Caenorhabditis elegans: one gene and its partner. The protein of the gene in region 2 interacts with the protein of the main gene of each other region in a pairwise test. Each region holds a gene or a part of one and is shown on either strand. Other genes may lie near its edges.

Region 1 (2,612 bases), on a different chromosome or scaffold from region 2:
CTTAATGGGTTCCAGAGTTGCTTTGATGGGTTCCAGTAATAATCAAATAATACTCGTTGAATTAGCGTCCGACTTACTGGAGATCATAGAATTCATTTGATTTTCACAGAAATCACTTGAAGATTTATGTTTAATATTGTGACATCGAATCGAATATTTCCTAGACCTATAGTATCGAACTGTTATATCAAACCACAATCAGAACTAATTTAGACAAGTTGATTATGTGTCCAATATTGCATCTATTGGAACAATAGGATTTATGAAAGTTAACAATAAATGTTGAATGCATAAATAGACAAATCAAGTAAAATTATTCTAAAGGTAATTTTCAAACATTTCCACGTGCCACTGACACTCAAACCAACCAATAGTTGTTGGAGTATTTCTTAAAATTTTTGAAAAGAACATTGAACAGTTTTAACATTTATTTGGCAATTCAAACAGCAAGAAAAAACATGGTATATTAAATTGATTAGTAGTACAAAAGGTATACAAAAGCTTACATATTAACTCAATATGGTCTTGGATATCCTGGATACTGTCCGGGTGGAGGTGGAGGATATTGCCCTGTTGGTGGTGGTGGGTACATACCGGCTGGCGTGGCTCCGGTTCCAATTTGATATGGCTGCTGTTGTGGATAGCCTGGTGTGCTTGAGTATCCTGGGTTGCTTGGATACATGTTAGTTTGATAGGGTTGCTGTGGAAGTGGAGGTGGTTGTTGGTTGTACGCCGAGTATCCTTGGGTTGGGAGTGGTGGGGCTTGTTGGACATATCCACTAGGATTCACTCCAGCACCGATTCCCATAGGTGGTGGGGGTGCATATGTGGCTCCGTAAGGTCTTGGTGGCGGTGGAGCATATCCAACTCCGGCGCCAACTGGTGGTGGAGGGGCTCCATATGGAAGAGGCATAATTGGAGTAACACCGAAGCCAACTGGGGAACGATAAGAACCGTCACTAGAGGAAGAACTTGAGGAGGAAGAACTGCACGTGCGACGGCCGTACATCTGAAGAAAAAGTGTAAGTTGAGGGGTTTAAAAGGGAAAAAAATCAAACAGAAAGGTTGAAAAACGATCGATTGTGAGTTGTTAGTTTGCGATCCGCCTATTGCCTCAAAAACGAGAAGGTTTCACAATGTGATACGGTTATCAGTTTGCATTGTCAGAAGAAGTTTCTCGTTTTTCCATAGAGAAGAGCAAACAATGACGTATATGGAAACGAATGAACAAAAAAGAAACGAGGGCGTTTTCAGTGTATATTTTGAAACTTTCTTTGCAATCCATGAGTCATGAGGATAGATCATGGACATGACCTTCTGGATGATTCAATGGGAAGGAAGATTACATTCATTTGAATTTATAATAGGAATAATATCGAAATGTCAAACTGGAATGCCAATCAAATACAAACGTCAAAAAAATTATCAGGAAGAATGGAAAAGATCAGGGCAATATTTTAAAATTCAAAACTTTTTCTTGAATTAAGCCAGTCTGCTCTCCGTCGGTCTTGTTGTAAGTTAAATCCAAGCTTCGCTCGACTTTTCAGGAAAGACTGGCTGTAGTCTGGAGGTAAGAAATGCTGACCTTAAGTTTGACCGCGACAACCATCCAGACTGAGCCATCCGGACAACTTTCAACCCTATTGGGTCTGTAAGTTTCTTTTACAATTTTAACAGACTTTTGAAACTCAATTACGATTTAATTTTGTTTTTCAACTTCAATGAATTTTATTGTGTATTAGTTCTTGAATCCGTGTAATTTTAATAACTATTTCAGTCCGTTTTGCAAACCAGAAAGGCCGATCAATACACTTCCTAGCTAAGATTTTCTGCGCCTATGCATTTCGCACCTGTTCTATTCCGAACATGTTTGCGGATCAGTTCTCTGACCACCTAGTGTCTTCACATGATTTTGACATTGGAAACATGTGGCCGAATGGTCTAGTGGTATGATTCTCGCTTTGGGTGCGAGAGGTCCCGGGTTCAATCCCCGGTTCGGCCCATTCCTTTTACTCTTTTAAGCATTTTCAGCATGTAACTTTGAAAACTTGTATTTTGATCGAATCGTGAGACACATTCAGTAAAATTATGGGGAATTGTAAGAAAAGGCTTTGAATATTTTTTTATGTATTATTAATGTATTTGATCGCGGAATACATTCATATTTACATCATCTTCTACGAGTTTAACAATTTGTGAAAATTATAATAATTATGAAAAGTAATTTGAATTATATTAAAACAATTTCTCACGATTAGCAATTTTGATTGTTAGAAATCCTATTCCTAACCAAAACTTTCGAAAAAGTCATACTCTGCATTTTCAAGGTCAATGCTTACTGCGTTCAGAGTTTTCTTGTTTAGTAGAGACGCAGATAGACTTGTTTATTGGTTTGTGACTAGTCGACCACACGCAGAGCGCTATTCACGAGAGCGTGCATGTGTAGGAAGAGGCGTTCACGACGAGACGTGGCCGGATGGTCTAGTGGTATGATTCTCGCTTAGGGTGCGAGAGGTCCCGGGATCGATCCCCGGTCCGGCCCACTTACTTTTTTCCTTGTAGCGAATGGTTATATGCTTTTGATGTATTATGCATATGGTTATTTCAGGAAA
Region 2 (4,810 bases):
AAATTTCCGGCACAAGCCGCCGCGCAAAAATTCGTTTTTCGCAACGGAACTGCGGTCAATTTGCTCAAATTTTTCTTTTCGTCTAGCTTTTTGAGTTTCTAGGCCACCGTTTGAAGCGTTTCACTTTTTGGGCCTTGGTGGCCTAGAAAAGTGAAAGTTAGGCCACGTTTTTTTGCTGAGTTCAGTTTTTGATCTATTCGATGGAGTCATCGTCGGCAAGCTTTTTTTTTTTCATTTTTCAGATTTTGAAAATATTATTTTGAACCAAGTTATGGCAAAAAATTTTAAATTGGTGACCTAGAAATTTCAGTTAAAATTCTAGGCCATCACATAAAAGCTTCTGTAACTTTATTGTTGTTTTTGAATTCTAAAAAACGCTGCCAACACGATACGACGTTCCACGCAAAATAAGAGGTCGTGGCCGATTTTTGGATTTCTAGGCCACCAACTTTAAAATATCATACCTTTGTTAAAATTGAATATATTTTGATGTTTTTGAAAAGTCTAGTGAATTTTTAAATGTGTTTTCAATTTAAAATTTTTTAAAAATTATCAATTTTGAAAATTCTAGGCCACGAACTTCAAAACCACAAAACTTAGCGAAAACTCAACTAGTGAACTTATAAAATATACATTTTTAAATTTTCTAAGCCACCCATTTGATTTTCTAGGCCACCTACTTCATCTGACCATAATTTTGCGTAAAATCGTGATTTTTCAGAAATTAAAAAACTAGATATACAGTATGAATGTTTATCTACTATACTAACAACTCAAATTTTAGATTGAAAAAAATTCTAGGCCATCAATTTGGGTTTCTAGGCCACCAACTTCAATTGGCCATAACTTTAATTCAAATCAAGATTTTTCAAAGTTTTAAAAACAAATATTCAGAGCATTTTCTATATTTTCAAAACAAACATTTCATTTTTCCAAAAGGCAAACGAATACTCACTCCAGGCAGCGTTTTCTGATCGTGAAGTGTCGCCTGACAGCGGACGGCGCTGTCTCGATGGCAGTAGGTGAGAAATGCGCAGCCTTTGTGCATACCTGAATGCATTTCAATTTCTAATGAACCGTGATTCCGGTACTCTAACCACACCCTGTCAGGCTTCTGGTAGTAGTAAGAAAATTTTGTGGGGAAATTTTATCTAGCAAAAAAATTTTTTTTTTTTGGATTTTTTTTTTCAAAAACATTTTTTGTTGAAAAAAAAACAAAAGTTTAATTTTTCTGCTTACCTGTATATTTGTCCTTAAGAATTGTGAATTCATATATTTTACCAAATTGCTCAAATAGGTGACGTAGATCTTTCTCTTCCAAGTTTCGGGGGATCTGAATTCTTAGATATAACTTTTTGCGAATTTAAAAATTTCCAAATAAATTTTTTTATAAACATTTATTACAACGCTAAATATTTCATAAAATCTATTACATTTGTAATTTTTAAAACGGTTCGAAGTTGGTGGCCTAGAAATACAAAATGTTAGGCCATTAACTGAAAATCAATTTAATATTTTTCACTTTTTGCGAGTGTTTTGTACACTGACATCATTTTGAATTTTAAAAAATTATCGATTTTCCGCCAAGTGACATCATTTTAAAGTTGGCGGCCTAGAAAACCAAATAACACAAAAAACTAGGCCATTATTACTTAAACTTGAAGAATAGATATATTAATATATTCTTAAGTTTAATACATTTTTCAAAATTTAAAAATATTAACTTTCAGTCAAGTTATGACCGTTTCAAGTTGGTGGCCTAGGATTTTTCTATGCCACCAACTTAAAACCGCTATAACTTGGCTTAAAATCATAATTTCTGAATTTTGAAAATTGTTACAAAATGTGCTCAGTTAACACTATTATAGCAATTTTAAAAACAATCCATGGCCTAACTTTGCATTTCTAGGTCATCAACTTAAAACCGCTCTAACTTGGCTCTAAATCAATATTTTTTGAGCGCAAAAAAGTTTGATACGATACAAAATAATAGTAATTATTATTTTTTTTTAAATCACAACATTTTTCAGACTTTAAAATGTTGACTTCGAGCCGAGTTCAAGTGAGTTTAAGTTGGTGGCCTAGAAAAATCCTAGGCCACCACCTTCAGATTTCTCTAGCTTGCCTGAAAATCGATATTTTTTCAAATTTCAAAATATAAGTTATAGCTGAAAAATGTAACTAGCGTGATTAGTAGTTTTCAAATTCTAGGCCACTAACTTCAAATCGCCATAACTTGACTCAAAATCGATATTTTTAAGTTCTGTAAAAACTACTGAGTAGCTAATAATTTTAGTTTCTAGATTTTCATAGAATATAATTATAAATTCTATGAGAAACGTTTCCCTTCTACTCATATTCCCTTAATCCAATATTCCCTAATATGCTCCGAACCGCCTGTGTCCCCCCGGGTTTCTGGGTGCTCATATCGATCTTGCTCGCGGAGCACAGCGACAAACTTGACACACACTCTGACGATGGAGTATGCGAGACGCCGGGAGATATCCGCGTGGTGTAGAGGGGGAGGGAAAAGAGCAAATTTGGTGCAGAATGGGCTTCACAAATGGGGAGAGAGGGAGGGTATCAGCGTCACGCGATTTGTAGAGGGAAATGGGAAAAGTTAAGGTTTCTAAGAAAATTGAAAAATCAAAAAAAAATCAAAAACTTTTCACAAAAATCCACCCCCATATTGCCTAGAATCCCCCCAATTTTAAAGTTGTGGGTCTCACCACGACAACTACAGTACCCCTGCTTTGCGGCGGGACCTAACACGCAGTCTAACAAAGTTTTGAAAATCTATATTTTCAGAAATTCCACAAACCCCAATTTTTTTCAATTTTCAGCCCAACCAACCTGCCCGACAAAAAGCTTAATAGCATCCGGATCCTTCACCGGAAACCCATTTGAATCTGTCGACGAGGTGCTACTGGCGCGCATCTCGTGCTGCTGCTGCCCCATATCAGCAGCCGACGGAGCCGGAGCAAGTGCAACTGTCGGTGGAATGGTGACAAGCTGCAAATTTGTGAATAATCAACAATTTACATATGTTAGATGGATAATTTGGAAGCAAGAACAAAAATTAGAGACAAAAATTGAAAAATCTTTTACCAAAACAAAGTTAACTGACAAAATGTTTATTAAGTAGTTTTCTATATTTCTGTAGTTAAAATGTTCAAATTATAGCTCAAATAGGCCGAGATATAGTCCATAAAAATTGGTAAAGATCAGACATAGTGCATCGATCAAGATATGTCTACAGCTATTCTACAGCTTTTAGCTCAGTTGCTTTTAATTTTATCAAAATAAAATTAACTGACAAAGTGTTTATTAAGTGGTTTTCTATATTTTTGTAGTAAAATTTCTTTAATTATAGCTCAAATAGGCCGAGATATAGTCCATAAAAATTGGTAAAGATCAGACATAGTGCTGCAACTCAGTTTACTTTGATTTCATCAAAAATTTGAAAAGAAAATTATTTTAAAAAACTTTTTTTCTATAGTTTTCTAGAGGAAATTTTAGGAAATTGAAATTTTTTTTTGAAAATGAACCGAAGTATATGGCCTGGAAAATTGGAGGGTATAATAGTTGCACAGCAAAATTTTTTTTACAAAAACGCTGGAACTTTTTTTAAAATTTTTCTAGGTATTCATTTTTTCATTTGGCATCCAAGTCTCTTTATTTTGGGTCCCACCACGAAACCTACAGTAGTCCGGCAGGTTTTCGTGGCGGGACCCATGGGGGTCAAATGAAAAGTATTGGAGTGAAAAAAAAACATTTTTACTAATTGTAAGAAAGAAAACTGGAAAACTCCTTTTGAAACATTCAAAAAAACAAAAGTTTTTTTGGAAATTAATTAAATTTTTTTTAATTTTTGCATGCTCCTTTTAACTACTAAATTTTATACTCAAATAAGGGCCTTGGAAGCCTAGTTCTAGGCCTGGACTACTAATTTTTTTTCTTCAATTTTTACAGATTTTCAGAAGTAACGAGCACGTCACAAAGAAATAATATTACTGGAATATAAAAAATCCCGAAAATAATATAAAATTGTGGCGTAACTAAGTCAGGGAAAGTGAGAGAGAGAGCCGCTACAATTCATGGAAGCTAGTGAGTGTTCGAGAAGCTGAAGGGGAAGAAGAAGAAGCCAAAAAGAGAGTGAAAAGAGAAAGAAGAAGAAGAAGCCGTGCTGCTCAGTCCCCCCACTCGCGCACCCCTCTTCATGAAGACGTGACGCTGGAGACGCAGGTGGTGAGAGATTGGGAGAGAGGAGGAGCTTGAAAGAGCACCTCATCTCAAGAAGAGCCACGATTAAGGAGATCTTTGCCTTTCAGAGCCTTGCGGGGGTTTTGAAATTGGCTGAGCGGCGACTGTGTAACGCATCAAAATTAGAGGCTACAAAATTTGACAAAGCTGATGCTCAATAGAGCTCAATATTGTTGACAGATTCAGAATATCAGTTCTATTACAAAAAACAGGAAGCCATGTTTATTGTGGGGATTCTTTGGTGTTACACTTTACACTTGTGATCTTGAAAATGTTTAGAAAGGAGCATCAGAAAGTGCTCAACTATATAATTGTAAAAAAGTAGATAGTTGACACTTTTTGATAACCTACAGAGAAAAGAGCTGCCTTGGTCGATGCACCATGTCCAAAACCTAGCTATGGGCCTTATTCAACTTAGACGGCATGTAATATAAAGTTAGAGAAAATTTGGTATTTAGCATTGTTTTTTACGAAGAGAGTCGATGCACCATGTTCGAAAGGTATCAAAAACTAGAGTATCCATTAGAGTATCCGGAATGGGGAAATT

Evidence for each region. The genes of interacting proteins can lie anywhere in the genome.
Region 1: the proteins of unc-75 (region 2) and C16B8.3 interact in a two-hybrid assay, tested with the Caenorhabditis elegans proteins (one large-scale study listed by BioGRID).

The regions. Positions count from the first base shown.
Region 1 is NC_003284.9:3,967,626-3,970,237, forward strand, and holds C16B8.3 (Annexin A7), read right to left. Parts: upstream 1,010-2,612; coding exon 515-1,009; downstream 1-514.
Region 2 is NC_003279.8:11,590,450-11,595,259, reverse strand, and holds the start of unc-75 (RRM domain-containing protein), read right to left. Parts: upstream 3,015-4,810; 5' UTR 2,959-3,014; coding exon 2,854-2,958; intron 1,334-2,853; coding exon 1,240-1,333; intron 1,051-1,239; coding exon 956-1,050; intron 134-955; exon of another isoform or gene 62-133; intron 1-61.